Linked DNA regions of Drosophila melanogaster. The protein of the gene in region 1 interacts with the protein of each later gene in a pairwise test. Each region holds a gene or a part of one and is shown in the gene's direction. Other genes may lie near its edges. The genes, in order: CG16904, CG8292, CG15282 and Usf.

Region 1 (3,132 bases):
CCGCAATACCCTCTTATATGGTCGGCGTAATAGGTTTTACTTACGTATGTAGGTATTTGTATAATAGAAACACACACTTAAATCAGCCTCGAAAACGAGCAGATTACCATTTCTCGGTTCTCGGCCGGAGTCCACATCAGTCGCTATTCCACCGACGTCGATAACACTTAGATATCCGACATGTTTGCCCATATGCTGGACTTCCTGAATCGATCGCCACCGGATCCTGTGCGTCTTCCGTTGACCAGCAGCCACTGGCCGGTGTTGACCATCCTTGGAATCTATCTAGTCTTCATAAAAATAGTGGGTCCTTGGTTTATGCAGAATCAAAAGCCCTACAATCTGGATAGAGCTATCAAGATCTACAACATCGTGCAAATCGCATACAATGTCATTTTGTTAATATTTGTAAGTAATGCTCTTTTTTTTAACAAAAATATATTAATATTCATTATATGTATCTCCAAATTTAAAGAGTGTGCACTTCATGCTTGGTCCTGGCAACTATAACTTCAGTTGCATATCCAATCTGCCGTTGGATCATGAGTACAAGAACTGGGAGCGTTGGCTCAGTTACTCCTACTTCTTCAACAAGCTCATGGATCTGCTGGAGACTGTGTTCTTTATATTCAGAAAGAAGTATCGCCAGATATCGTTCCTGCACGTTTTCCACCACGTATACATGGTGTACATAGGCTTCTTGTACATGTATTATTATGGATACGGCGGCCATGGATTCTTCTTGATCACCTTCAACGTGGTGGTGCACACCATGATGTACACCTACTACTACCAGTCGTCCCTCAATCGGAACTCGGGTGGCGATCTCTGGTGGAAGAAATACATCACAGTCGTTCAGCTTGTCCAATTTGTTATTATATTCTCGCACAGCGTCTATATCCTCCGGCAAACTGATTGTCAAACATCACGATTATCGGCAACTTGGGGCTCACTGATATCTGTAGTATTTATAATTCTATTTAGTAACTTCTACGTTCGCACCTACATTCTTCCCAAGAAAACGAAATCGGCGGTGGGCCGATGAGCAAAACTAATTAAGATTTAATATCACTGTTCCTTACATTAATCAATGTCATTAATAAATGCTTTTGATACAACAAATTCATTTGTTTTATATCATTGTATATATCGTATATTATACATAGATATATATTTTACATAAAGCAATGGGAGATATTTGTTGGTTTCTAGAACTCTCTATCCACTCGACTGCTTAATGCTATTAAATATGCAAAATACCCCTTTAATTGGGTCTCGCCAGTATTTTATAAATGTAGAACACTTTTTTTGTTGTATTGACAATAATGTCAAAAGGAGTAATTTTGTAAATAATGGCACTGCTGATTAATAAAATGTTGAAAATAAAAACGTAGTTGAACTGTTACTTATATTGTATTTAGTTCGATTTGCAAAGCTTTAAGTATTCAAGTTGAAGGTTGATAGTGGGTTAAACATACCGGAAATTTGCACTAATGTAATTAGCAAATAGGTAATAGTATAGTGGCTATCGTGAAAGAAAGAAATCACAGAAGGTAAAAGTCAAGTCACTCGTTAAGTCGTGCGCGAAAATGTTCGAGGTGTTCGATAAGCCCTTCGCCGATCCTGTCCAGCTGCCGCTGGCGGGCAGTATCCGCACCTCGGTGATCATCATCACGGTGTATCTATTGTTTGTGCTCAAGCTGGGCAGGAAGCTGATGGACAAGCATGAGGCACTCCAGCTGCGAGGTGTGCTCAAGTTCTACAACATCGGACAAGTCCTGTTCAATTCGGTGATTTTTGTGTGGGTACGTAAGTCGAAGGATATCGATATACACAGTTTTTTAATCGTTTTCAATGGATTGCTCCATATTACCCAGGGCATCCATCTGTTATTCGTGCAGAAGCCGTACAACCTGAGCTGCATGCAAGTCCTGCCGCAGGATCATGAGCTAAAGTCCACGGAAAGGACACTGTCGTACATGTACCATCTGAACAAGGTGCTCGACCTGATGGACACCATATTCTTTGTGCTGCGCAAGAAGCAGCGCCAGATCACGTTCCTCCATGTGTTCCATCACGTCTTCATGGTCTTCACCTCGCACATGCTGATCCGATTCTACGGTTTTGGTGGCCATGTCTTCCTGATCTGCATGTTCAATGTTCTGGTGCACATCGTCATGTACGGCTACTACTACGCCTCGTCGCAGAGCCAGAATGTGCAGGAGAGCCTCTGGTGGAAGAAGTACCTTACCCTGGGCCAGCTGGTGCAGTTCCTCCTGATGTTCCTGCACTGCATGTACACCTATTTCCAGCCAAACTGCTCGGCGTCGCGGGGTGTCATCTATGTCATAAGTTCGGCCAGCGCCTTCATGTTTCTGATGTTCACCAAGTTCTACATAAAGACCTACATTCGGCCGAAAGAGGTCAAGTCCAAGGGCAAGGTCAACTGAATGCACCTGCTACACTGTGATCAAAAACTGGTAATTCGTATGTACATAACTATTGGGGTGCATAGGAATGAAGAGTGTCTTTCCAACTTTCATACAATTTTTGTTATAAAATTCCCACCTTTGATCCTGTTTTTTTTTTGTATTATTTAATAAGAATGTATTTGTAATCAACAAATATTTTATTATTACTTTTACAATACATTGGCTTCTTAAATTAAATTTGAATTATAAAGTGATACATCATTGGTTTCTCTGAGTGTACTCGACAATTTGCATATGCGCCGTTTGAATAATAGATGAATTCAAATGCATCGACAGTTAATTCAAATGCAGTCGAAAAGGTCAAGGAGTTAGACTCCGTCCGGAATAAATCCCATCGGCCACATCTCGACTACTCGTGGTTTCCATCGTCGAATCGAGGGGATTCCCCTTGGCACGTGATCTGCATGCTCCGCAGAACTTGGACCGAGCACGTCTCTGGACATTCCATGCTGCATTTAATTAGAATATTAGGAACGAGCCTGGCCCAGCACCGGCGATTTATGGCACCGGAAGGGTCACCCGTGGCCGGCCGAATTTGCATAGGAATCGCATGCGGCGAATCAGAGTCAAAGTGCCAGCTGAATAATTGCGGCCATGCGGCAACATTAAAGCGAAGCCGCAGTCAAGTGCAGTGGTTCCT
Region 2 (3,281 bases), on another chromosome or scaffold:
AGAACGAGCTGCAGTTCCTTACCGAGTACCACGGCCACTTGCGCGAGGCAGCACTCAGGACGGAGAAAATGACGCAACGCCACAAGGATGTAGGCGACTCGCATCAGAAGATTTCGAATGCGTTGACGCAGCTCTCGACTACGGAAAAGGGAAATGTGGAGACGTTTGTGGCCAAGACAGCGGAGATATTTGAAAGGATCAAGGTGCGCTACGCTGCGTTTTCGCTATAATTATATTTTATAAATTTTCCTCTTGATATTTTAAAGAATCTGGAAACCCGAGTGGCTAGCGATCAAGATCTCAAGCTGGGCGACACTCTGCGCTACTATCAGCGGGATAGCGACGCTGCCAAAGCTCTACTTATCCGGCGACTGCGGTGTTTGGCTGCTTATGAAGCGGCCAATCGAAACCTGGAGAAGGCTCGCTCCAAAAACAAGGATGTTCATGCGGTAAGATTGAGGGATGATCACAACTAGTTCTTCCAGAACTATGTTTCAGATCGTTTAAAGAGCAATTGTTTTCCCTACAAAAAGTTTCCAGCGGGTCAATTAATTCTCACGCTTCACTAATTACAAATAACAAATTATTTGCGTTCTTGTATTTTATTGCTACCGTACACAACCTCACAACTCTCTGATCTGCCTGTCCCTCCCTCTTCACTTTTTGTGCGTGTTTGTGGTTCTGTTTCTGCAGCCGTTGGAGGTGCAAGAGGTATTTGGCATTTAACGTTTTAACCGTCGGTTTAGTAGATGTGTCGCCACCCCACGTAAATGCTGCATGCGCTCCACCGTTGCTCAATCTGTTGTATTCACTTTAGCATGCCCTTGCTGTGGCCCACTTGTTGTGTTCCCTGTATATAATCGTTTTTGTTTATCCTCCAATTAGGCCGAGACTGCCCAGGCGGAGGCCTGTGAAAAATTCGAATCTATGTCTGCATGTGGAAAGGAGGAGTTGATCGGTTTCCGCAACCGACGGGTAGCTGCTTTCAAGAAGAGGTGAGTCAGCAGCTGCTAAACATTTTGCTATGCTCTGCATTTTATTATCGCTTTTCTAAACACAGCCTCGTCGAGCTCTCAGAGCTGGAGATCAAGCATGCCAAGACGCAGTATGAATATCTGCGCCAATCACTGCTAGCGCTCAAAGAGATTGCCTGAGACGGGGAGCCGGAAGTAGACAAGGAATAGAAGGATGAGTCACCCGCACATTGTTTACACACCCCATTGAAACGCAAGCCTCATCGATTACACACATCCGGGAGACGAAGTAAATCAATTGTTTAATTGCTAAGCAAACAGTTTATTATTGCACAGGCCAAATCGAGTGCAACATTATTATCTTAGCCCACGTATTATATTAACGAATATTCATTTGTTTTGTGAACAGAGCGCTTTTATATTTGTCAAACAAGCATTCCTCTCTACAGCATAAACTACAACTACATATATTGTAAACACTTGCATTTGAAGCAGAATATAAACGAGAAATATTGTACAGAAGGCTGGCTGTTTGTGAGCAGTCAGTATACTAGCATTGTTTGGAGTCTATTCGGTAACTGGGCAACATCAAGGGTTTCCAAATTAAGCGTCTCAAGGGGTGCACATTTCCATTGTCGCTGAAAATTGTGTTTGTTGTCAGTGTTAGATAGATTTTCAAAGTCCATAAGCCATGGATGAGTTCGGCGTCTTCGATTACAAGCGCCCTGCCAGCGCTACAGATCCCGATTGGAGGACCTCGTACTATCGAGGGCATCGCCACATTACAGACTTGAGAATGGGTAACAAGCTGAACGCCAAGTTTACGGATAAGGGTATTTATGTAAAAGATCCGCTGCTGTCCGAGAAGCCGACTTCTGAGTGCATGGCCAACTATGTGTGGCAGGTGAGTTGATTGATATGCTGAGATATGTTGCACCAAACTAAAACGTGACCATGATGTTCCAGTATAACGATCCCAACGCACTTAGAAATCCCTCGCTCAACATGAAAACACAGTATATGAAACCATTTGAGGAGGGTTCCCTTCGCTTTGTAAAGCGAAAGATGAAGCCCATTTCTAGTGTCAGTCATGAGTCGTATGTACTTAAGGAGCTGCCGGAGGAACAGGAAATATTGCCTGTAACAATGCCCACTCCGGTGGTAGCCACCAAGCTAGTCATCGACCGTTCGGAGGCGTCCTTTAGCAAGTACCTTGATCCCTCCTCCACCACATACAATCTGTCGTATGTGCGCTGGGGTCCCGAGGACTTGTGTGGCGGAGTAGCTGCCCACGACAATATTACATACTGGAATTGGACGGAGAAGATGCCGCCCATCCAGAAAGTGTCCCGCGAAGAGGATCCTACAATGTGTGACGAGGGTAATACGCATAATTGCCCAAAGCGACGCTGTGAGTTTCAAAACCTCACCAAACGAGTGCCGCATTCGGGAATGGTCACCGAGGTGCGCGCTAATTTCACGGATCCACAATTTCGAAGGGTTGAATTCGATCCAGAAGTTAAGCCCATACTCGTGCACGAGGAAGTCACTCCGTTTGCGGAGAAAAGCGAATACGGCATCTACGGATCGGGAGAACCAGTTATCAAATACGTTTAGTTCTCTACACATTGTTTTGACTTTTTGTCAAGTTAATCAGATCGCTAACTTAAATTATTTGCAATACTTATTGACATTAGAACGAATAATTTTATTGCATTAAATAAATTCTGGATATTATTTAGATGAAAATTTCATTCAAATGAGTTAAAGCTGTGGGGAAGCAGATGGTAGGCGGACGTGACCAGCACTTCAGCTTCGTCCGGAATTGAAGGAATGCAGTTCTCTTGCTCCGGCGGCGGAGCCTTGGCAATGTAGATAGGAATATCATTTTGGATGAACTCCAAAATGAACTGCCGGCAGACTCCGCAAGGTGTGGTAAACCCATCTGGGTGATAGGCTACCACAGCACCCGCCGTATACTTCTTCTCGCCCTCGCTGATACCCTTGGCCAGGGCACAACGCTCCGCACAATTGCCTGGAGTGAAAGCTACGTTCTCGATGTTGCAGCCCGCGTAGATCCTGCCGCACTTCGCACGGAAGGCTGCTCCCACTTTGAATTTGCTGTAGGGCGCATAGGCACATCGACGGGCAGAAAGAGCCGCCTCTAGCAGCTCCCGGCCATCCTCACCTGGAGATTACGGTTTGATTACCAATGGCAGAGGATTCACCATTATAGCCAAGCCTTACCAACAGCACAGAACGCTACTGTGTACTCCTCCAACATCTGTGGATGTGGCAGGTTTTCGG
Region 3 (3,128 bases), on another chromosome or scaffold:
CGGAAGAGCCGACATCTTCCTCTTCGGAATACCATTTCTTTCGGGCTTAGTTTCCAGTTGAGTTTACGTGAGCTTGGATTTCAAGCTGTGCGCGCACATAAGTTTGCGGCTTAAGCATGTGAAATTCATATGGATGGAAATGGAACCACCCACACGCCACCCCACATATTCAGCTCCAGGAATTTGCACCCACCTGCAGGTGGGGCATAACATTCTGACTGGGCTAATGCATTGCTAGCCACCCAAATAACCTAAGACATTGCGTCGCACGGGGGTGCCAAAGAAGTCAAGCCAAGTTACTAGTGCCAAAAGTTTAAAATTAAACGTAGTTATATCAAAAAAAAAACAGCTTGGTTGGAAACGTAGGGTACTACTGAACTATATATAACGAAGAATGTGTATCTTAAATAGTTTAAATGTTTTTTTTTTACTATTTTATTTAACCTTTCTTTCATTCGCCAATACCAACTTAACGTAAATCAAGAAACTAACGTAGTCAACAGTTTGTTGTTTACCTATCGGTGACGCAAATATTTAATTATAAATTCAGCTCGATTAAAGTTTAAAAGAGCAAAGAATGTCCCAAAAATGTTGCGTTGTAAGCAAAAGGCTAATTATGTTTATGCAAAGTGTTTTTTTTTTGAACTTATGGAACCTAATGGAATATAATTTGAACAAAATTATTGAAAATTGACGGTAATTGAAATGAATTTGAACAAATTTCAGTGCACGGCTTTGGGTGTCGTGTTGGGCCACCATCAAAGGAGTCAAAGAGCGTTGAATGTTGAATGTTGCAACTTTGACACGCGACGCAGACGTTGGCCCAGAGTGTTTTCCCCGGAGCTCTGCAATTTTAAGGGCCTAGGCCTCCCGAAAAGGGTTCATTAGACATTTTACCAAAATTACTGCACATTTCCAAAAAGCAACGGCTATATGATTAGTTTTGAAGCGGTGGTTTATTTGAAGTAGAGGGTTTACTTTGATTTAAGTTAAGTTGAGCGAGTTTGCGTTGTAAGTTACTTGAACATTAAACGGATAAAGTCACTAGTACCCACACTAAACAGCTTACTTGCCAACCGGGAAGAGGGACTTGTGGTGCCCGACTAAACACAAATTCGATGAAATAAAAATAAATTAGCTGCTTTAAATGAGCCAAATAAATTCATTTAGGGTTTTATGCGCTCCACTGAAGTATGCCAAAAGGCACCGTCTTCGTCGTCGCAGTCTTTCGCATCACCCTCTTTTCGGATGGCAGGGTTAAGAGCCAAGTTAAAGGCAACACGTATTGCCAAACTCGATTGCCGCTGGCGCCGCACACCAAATGCAATTTCACTTCACCCTCGTCGAGGTACGGTAAAATTTCCAGGGTCTCCGGTCTCCGGTCGCCAGTATTCCCCATTCGCTGCAGGTGATTCCCCATCGAGACACTTATCTATTGAGTGAGCTTGGTTCGCTTCGTTTGGACCGCTCTTGAAGTGAACGCCAACGAAATAAGAAAACAACAAAGTTTCTTTTGATTATGTCAATGGAATTTGTTTATCTCAACGAAATGTAACCGAATTGAAAAAAATATGTTTTTTTTACGCTCATTTGCATTTACTTTTGCCCGGATATAAATGTGGCAATTGGAAGGGGTGATTTGTTCAAATGTCCAGCTCAGTAAGATTCAATAATTATATATACACGTAACACATTAATGTGATTCTATGGTAAACATTAGAGTAAGGAAGCAAATTTGTTTTGAGAACCCCAGAAACAAAGGCATCATCAACAACGTCAAGTAGCATCAACAACGTCTAGTTTGGGTTCAATATATTGATTCTTGGAAACGTGCCTCTAGAAACTGAATAGCTTAGTCATAAATTCAGTAAAAATACTATTTAAATATAAATTGGCAAACTATTAAAATTCATATCAAAAGCCACGCACCTGGCGCCTGTTCCCCTAAAAAAAAATGGAAACCGGTCAATAACCACAACAAATTCAAAACCGGATTGGAAGAGAAACGCTGGTCACCTGTGAGGAAAGCCCCCACGTCTGGTCCAGTGTCTGGGACAAGTTTTTATTTCAGTGCGGGTAAAGAACCTCCGAAATTCAAACATTATATGAATTCAAAAAAATCGTATAAATAGAGAAAGACGTGACAGAAAGGGCACAGTATCGAGTGCAACATCGAAGCATCCTCATCTTCTGGGATATTAGTACAAATTGAATTCATTTTCAAATTCAATATGAAATTCTTGGTAAGTTTGGCCACCAGAGCTACACCTCGCAGGGATTAAGGACTTTATAAAAATAATAAACGGCCATTCAGGTGATCGTTTTTGTGGCCCTTATCGCCGTTGCTTCCGCGCTTCCTCAATTCGGATATGGAGGATTCGGTGGATTCGGAGGATTCGGTGGCCAACAGCAGCAGCAAGAAGGATTCGGCGGTTTCGGAGGCTTCGGAGAACAGCAACAGCAGCAGGAAAGCTTCGGTGGATTCGGCGGATTTGGAGGAATCGAGCAGCAGCAGCAGCAGCAACAAGGAGGCTTCTTCTAAGGCTGTTACTTTAGTTCCTCGACTAAAAATTAAAATAAATTATTTGAACGTATTAGTATAACAAACACAAAACAGTTTTTGTTTTTAAATACTCATTTACATGTTTTGACAATGGCTTATTGTAGGCCTTTAGATCGACAGAGATTTTATTAATGAGTAACCTTCATTTATTTCGCTTGCTTATAAATACGTTTGGGTTTATTTTTTTGGACATAAGCAACATCAAGAAAAATGAATTATTAAATTAAATTAAAAATTTGTGTTTCAACATAAAAAATTGTTTTTATTTAGCTAATCGAAAATCACTTAATGGGTTAATGACATTTTTGTGCTATAACAACATTAATTGCAAACACTTGAATAATTCGCAAATGATGTTGGCATAAAAACCAAAGGCAGATACTGACTCATGCAAAATTGTGAAATAACCAAATGTTCTGACAGCAATAATTTAACAAAAAACCTAATTTGATTAGCGAAGAGCATACGCCAAGAAGAGCTGATTGCAAACCTGTATTTTTAGTGGGCCCGTCAACCCCAGATACTTGAACGTTTTCAACAACAGAAAAAATCCCCTATAAACACA
Region 4 (6,412 bases), on another chromosome or scaffold:
ACAGTTCAATTTGGAGCAGCTTAAGGCGGCCAAGGCCCAAATGCCTGCGAAGGCGACAAAGGCTACATAGTAATGATTGCCATTACAAACAGATGGACTGGCACATTCCCTTCACAAAGCAACCAAATATTTTTGGTCACAAAATAGCTTGTACGATTAATCTGTTCTTAATTAGTATTTAGGTATGTGTGCAAGAGACGTGTGCGAGTGTGTGTGTGTGTGTGTATAGGATAAGTTTTCAGGTATAGTTTTATCAGGCTTTATACACGGAAATGTTCGAAAGGAGGAGGTTCTTTCGATGCATAATACAGCATCGTTATGTCACTTTAATTAATAATATCTTTTAATGAATATTTAAACAACGACTTTTTCACATTCGATAAGAAATAAGCTTTGAATTGTATTCAACTAAGAACTCTTTTGTTTATTTCTGTTTTCAGACAGCTTATTTTTATATTTGTTATATTATGTTTTATATTTGTCCAAAACCTCCTACCTCGAATTTCCCAAAAAAATATCATTAAGATCGCGTATTTATATTTACCACTAGTTTTACATTCAGTTATGTTATCTTAATGCAAAAAAAAAAGGAAATCTACAAAAATAACAACAGCCATTATCCAATCGAAGAACTGCAGGTTCCCGAGAGGAGTTTCTTTGGTGGATTACCATCGGATTGGTTGGGTTTTTAAGGCCTCCAACAGACTGGAAAGACTGGCAAAAGAATGGGGATTGTCAGCGTTGCTCACAAGCAAACCGCTCCAGCCGCAATTCCGGGCACCTTCATAGTCCATATCCAACTTGTTGCCAATGTGAAGGGCCTGCTCCGCTGGAATTTGCAATCTCTGCAGCGGAATTTCGAAGATACCGCGTTCGGGCTTCATAACACCGGCTTCGTAGGAAGTCAGAATGAAATCGAATTTGCCGGCAAAGCCCATGGCGTCCAGGACTTGTGGCAGTGACGAATCGAAATTGGAGATGATGCCCACACATTTGCCGGCATTTCGGACGTTCTGCACCAACTCCTGGGCACCATTCACGTGACTCCAACAGGCGCTGGTCCGAAAAACGGAAATTAGCCGCTGGCCGATCTTCTCCAGCTTCTCGGGCGCCAGACCGTGGTCCACGCAGCTAAAGGTTCGAGCCACCAGCTGAAGCCACCAACGCTGCCAATCCAATCCCGGCGAGTAACGGCCAAAGTTTGGATGTTCGCTGCTCATCGCCTTGAATTGCTGGCGAAAGCATTGTTCCAATCGGCGGCGATCCACTCCGGTGACCCCGAACTCCTCTGCCGTCTGATGGTACTGGCGAAGGGGATCCTCCAGGCGAAGCAGCGTGTCCGTTACATCGAAGGTCACCAGGCGAAAGCGTTTCAAATTCGCAACAAATTGCGAAGTCAACGACATTTTGGCCAACAGTGTGGTATTGTTTGTCCACTAGATATTACGTATATGCATTTGGTATATTTTAATTTTCGAAAAACCTCCAAAAACACATTTGCTTAGTTGAGAATCGTTTATTGAATTAAATGAAGATGCTTTTCTTCATTTTAAAGTTACAGATTTTCTACTTGTATGAAGAGTTTATTTTTTTTTTTGAATACAAACAATTATTTGGAAATGCCGCAAAAATACATTGCCTAAATTCTGGTATTTTTCGCAACAACTGTACTGTGTGTATTTGTCGGCATATATTTGCTGCCCGCCGGCGGGCACACTAAGCCAAACGAAAATAATTTTGTTACAAAAAAAATCAACAAATCGTATTGTTAAATGGCCGTGCGAACACGAACGACCATAAATCCGCCGCAGCGCTCGATTTCAAATCAAATCCTCGAGGCAGTCGGTAGTTAATAATACCGCAGAGCGGCCAGATCGGGGGATATCTACCATCCATATCCGTGTATCCTCCAACTAGAGATCGGAGCAAATAGTGGAGGAGATCCCGAATAGATCCGGAGTTACGTGATTCCCGGCGACACGGATACGATTCTGGCTGGGATTGGGCTATTGGAATTGGTGTACTGCTAACGGCGGATCATCGATGCAACAATGAATGTTCACAAGCGGCCACGTCTGAATATGGAATTCGGCTCCTCCACCAGCAATACCAACACTTCCACATCCCCGTCCTCCGTAAATATCAGCAATGCGAATCCAACAGCTGGACCTGGCCTCATGACCATTACCAATCACCACACCGCTGATTTGTCAGAGGCCCTGGTCCACAGTTCCTTTGCCAATGGTCAGCAAAGTCTGATTCTCACCAGCGACACGGGAAATCCGCTGATGAATAGCCAAGGTGCTCAGATATTTCTCACCATTTGCGGAGACGAGAACTCGGACGATTCGCAGGAGTACTATACGATTAAACAGGAACCGGGATGTGATCTAGATATCCATTCGCTGCTGCCTAGCAATTTGCAGCTGCCCAACAATCTGCAGCTGCCCACTGGCTGTGAGATATATTTGGTCAAGGAAACCGGCAGCTTAATGGGTGAGCCGCCGACGAAGGCGGCCATCAAGCTGGAACTAGATACGCTAAGCGAAAAGCCGCTCCTTCCATCTGTTACAACTTCCTCCAGCACACAGTCCGCGGTAATAACCGCCCAGACCGTGAATCCTCCCATTCCAGGTAACATCAACACCACCACCAGCACCACTAGCACCACCACCACCACCAGTGTCCTGTATGGCTCCCATGGCAATGGTCATGGCCATGGCCATGCTCACGCCCAAGCCCGATCCCAGCCAGAATCAGCTGGCCAAACACCATCCAGCAAACTGGAGGCGTACAAGAAACGCGATGATAAACGTCGTGCCACGCACAACGAGGTCGAACGCCGGCGCCGCGACAAGATCAACAGCTGGATCTTCAAGCTCAAGGAGATGCTGCCCAGTCTGAGCTCCAGCTCCAGTTTCAGCGAGGCCAGCACGAGTCCCAGCACCAGCGGAAGTACGAGTACCAACGGAAGTAGCCATTCCAAAGGCAATGCCAGCAGTTCCAGCGGACGAGCGCCGCCCAATGACTCCAAATCGCAGATCCTGATCAAGGCATGCGAGTACATCAAGAGCATGCAGGGCGAGATTGACACGTGAGTGGAGACGGGTTTGTAGGGGGGAAACCACTGAATCAGAAATCCACAAATATTGTCCGCTATAAGTTGCTGTACTACAGTTATATATACAGCTATATAACTTTTTTGACTTGTTAATGGTCTTAAAAAATGAGTTTGCTTATAGATCTTAATCAACTCCATTCGCTCAATTGAGCTTACATCATGTATCGATCGCATACGGTTAGGAATAAAGTTACCCAAAGGGCGGACACTTGATCTTTCCCACTTTTTCCGTAGAAATGCGTACTTAAAGTGCTGATATAGGGCTGGTGTTATCTTTTTGCAAAACAAAATCCCCATTTTGGAGCGGTTCTTTTTCGCCACTATCTCGTGCAATATGAGCTGGACTCTCGAATGTCCCTGTGTCACTCAAGTCTTGAACACAACACTCTCTCACACTGATCGAATGCGGTTTCCACCCAAACAAAACCCAACAAAATCATACAAAGCCAATCAAACACCTGATCCACCGATTCACCGATCACCAAACATAAACAAACCAATTACTCAACTTTGTCTATCCCCACCAATAAACAGGCTGCGCGACTGTCTAAGGGAGACGGATAGCCTAAGGGCCAGCAACCAGGCGCTGCGCGAGGAACTTGATCGCCTGAAGCGTCAGCAGCAGCTCCAGGAACGCTTCCACACGGCCGGCGGAAGATCGACGTTTAATGTTACCCTAAATTCGCTGAACAGTTCCGCGACCAGTGATCTATTCGAGGGAATCGATACGACACCCAATCTGGCCGCCGTCTCGTCGCTGGGATTCGGCAAGCGTGGCCTGCTGATCAGCGATTTTGATGAGTAAACAAAATCTGCCTGCGAAATAGGAGTGGATAGACAAAAAAAAAAAAAAAAAAAATAGAAATGAAAAACATATGGGTGGACCGATTGGGTTGCTGGTTACGGGAATAAACAAATATGGAGGCGGCGGATGGACAAGCCCTGGCGCCTTCAACAAACATATACGCCCATCCACCAAAGAATGACGTGCAACGTACACGCAACGCAACACACGCAGTACAATAAACGGACATGACGAGTGATTCCTTGTTATCGCCGCTCTGTTATATGTTATATAAGAAAAGCAGCATATATTACATATGTGTATCGATATGTGTATATGGTTATGTATATGGCTATGTATATGCATGTACATATATGCAGTCGAACTTGGGTGACTCAAGCCAAGTTGTTGGCCTAACCGCTTTGACAAAAAGCTGTTCTCAATTGAGTTTAATTAACGAGCCACGGCACAACACAGCTGCTTTTGTATGTTATATGTATCTGTTATTGGTATTATTCCTAACCAACCCCCCCCTCCAAAAAGTGAGCGCCCAAAAAGAAAAAAAACAAATCATGAAAATAACGATCGAACGAATTTTTGTACCACCCCCATGCCGCGATCATTATCATATTTTGTTTAGAGTCTTGGAATATTAGATCACAAACAAATATTGTTGATAAGAAGCTTTAAAGCACGTTCTGTTCTTCCATGTTTTTTTTTTTCGTATTACATTATGTTTAAGATATACGTAGGTATAGTTGTTTTGATTTGCGCAGCGAATCTAGAACTATAACTTAGCCATGTTTCAAACAAACTCTTTGTGTTCATTCAAGAGAATTCACTATGTATTCACTTTCAACAAGAGATTGTTGTATTTAAATCGAAATATGTTTTTCAAAAATATCAATATTGAAATATTAGCAAAGTACAGCGCAAGATAAGTATAAGTATAAGTAATTTCTTGCTGAAAGTGAAAGTGGAAACTGAAGTGGTTAACAAAGTTTTCGATTTGTTGTTATACAGGAAATTAGTTGTAAGTCTGAAGTTTGAGTAACAAAAGTTCGATTGCACAGATGTGAAATGATTTATGTTCTCGGATCCTCAAGCGGTTTGCCATCATTATATACAAACGTACATACATACCTATGAATTACCCAGAAATACAAGCCTAGAAAAAATCTAAAAGCGTTAACGATACCTACCTATTGCATATATACCTTTAACTAAATCATATTTGGAGCATGTTTGTGCTTGATTTTTCGATTTTATTGTACTGTTTCTCGGCACTAATTACCTACAAAAAAAAAAAAAATGTAACGAAAATATACTATATCTAGTTATATCGTATATATATTATATATATATATAAATATATATGGTCTATATATATATATAGAGAGAGAGAGAGAGAAAGAGCGAGAGGCAAGTGTACATACGTAGTGCAGTCGGTAGAACAGTGGGAATTCGAGCGAGATGCGGCTATATAATGCCGCACTGCTCGCCGGGGGCGTGTGCACCGTTACAGATAAAATGCTATTGTTGATAAAGAATAATATTATATTATATTATATTTGAGCATAATGTTGTTGTGAATGTTATATCACTGTTTTCGATATACGACGCTGTTTCAGAAGTATAAGTATACAGAACAGAAGTGTTTTAAATACGATTCATTTGTAATAATGAAAATGCCAAAAAAAAAAGCAAAAAAAAAAAAAAAGAAATCAAACACACCAACCACACCAAAATACAAACACACTAAGATTCAGGATTTTAAGATATAAGATGGGGTACTGGGAATTGGATTATTTAACCCATGGCCGAAAACGAAATGGGATCTTGTGTTACTTGTTGCTATCTATATGCAGTACATTACAATAATATCACATTTCTGTCATTTGACAGCTAATAATTCTATTCAATTTCAATAAACGAACTCAGTAATGGTTAACACACACAATCAATTTCTCATTCAATGGAATTGTTGGCATGCGGGCATTGATTCTTTAGAAGAATATGGTGGTTTGTTCGCACAGCTGGCTTTCCATGATTCCATAAGTTCATATGTTCATATGTACATATGTACATATGTACATATGTATCAGCAAAAAAGCTGATCTCTTTATTGTAATATATTTTAAGGATTACATAGTGCTTAGATACATTGTGTTTACACAATCAGTCGCCTAGCGTAGTCGCCTACATGGAGTAGTCCGTGTTCCACTGATGCAATGTGCAGATTGGCTCCGTTCATATAGTGCACATTAATGTGGGGATTTTGGAGTTCAGAGATTAAAGTGGAACAGGCTGCTGCTGGATCCCCAGTGCTGATTAGCATATTCTGTAGGGAAATAAGCATTACAAATTGTAAACCTTAGTAGAGTCACTTCTTGCATACCGCCCAAAATTCGTTGCCAGGCAGGGCATTTCCATCCCAGGCGTATGTCACCACGGGCAACATGTCCTCCGTTAGTTTGTCTCCGGGATTTCGGACCGAATTGCGAATG

Evidence for each region.
Region 2: the proteins of CG16904 (region 1) and CG8292 interact in a two-hybrid assay, tested with the Drosophila melanogaster proteins (one large-scale study listed by BioGRID).
Region 3: the proteins of CG16904 (region 1) and CG15282 interact in a two-hybrid assay, tested with the Drosophila melanogaster proteins (one large-scale study listed by BioGRID).
Region 4: the proteins of CG16904 (region 1) and Usf interact in a two-hybrid assay, tested with the Drosophila melanogaster proteins (one large-scale study listed by BioGRID).

What each region holds. Positions count from the first base shown.
Region 1 is NT_033777.3:9,815,415-9,818,546, reverse strand, and holds CG16904 (uncharacterized protein), read left to right. Parts: upstream 1-1,567; 5' UTR 1,568-1,589; coding exon 1,590-1,805; intron 1,806-1,877; coding exon 1,878-2,450; 3' UTR 2,451-2,619; downstream 2,620-3,132. Other genes in the region: CG9459 (uncharacterized protein), read left to right, coding at 181-408, 476-1,045.
Region 2 is NT_033779.5:8,216,284-8,219,564, reverse strand, and holds CG8292 (uncharacterized protein), read left to right. Parts: upstream 1-1,547; 5' UTR 1,548-1,665; coding exon 1,666-1,878; intron 1,879-1,940; coding exon 1,941-2,591; 3' UTR 2,592-2,714; downstream 2,715-3,281. Other genes in the region: Snx6 (sorting nexin 6), read left to right, coding at 1-203, 267-449, 694-711, 886-995, 1,061-1,154; CG8349 (uncharacterized protein), read right to left, coding at 2,726-3,162, 3,222-3,281.
Region 3 is NT_033779.5:14,710,511-14,713,638, forward strand, and holds CG15282 (uncharacterized protein), read left to right. Parts: upstream 1-1,960; 5' UTR 1,961-2,076; intron 2,077-2,132; 5' UTR 2,133-2,231; coding exon 2,232-2,243; intron 2,244-2,314; coding exon 2,315-2,542; 3' UTR 2,543-2,608; downstream 2,609-3,128.
Region 4 is NC_004354.4:4,544,068-4,550,479, reverse strand, and holds Usf (Usf), read left to right. Parts: upstream 1-1,685; 5' UTR 1,686-2,051; coding exon 2,052-3,094; intron 3,095-3,655; coding exon 3,656-3,926; 3' UTR 3,927-5,863; downstream 5,864-6,412. Other genes in the region: CG11436 (uncharacterized protein), read left to right, coding at 1-70; CG15912 (uncharacterized protein), read right to left, coding at 666-1,406; CG3568 (uncharacterized protein), read right to left, coding at 6,076-6,246, 6,304-6,412.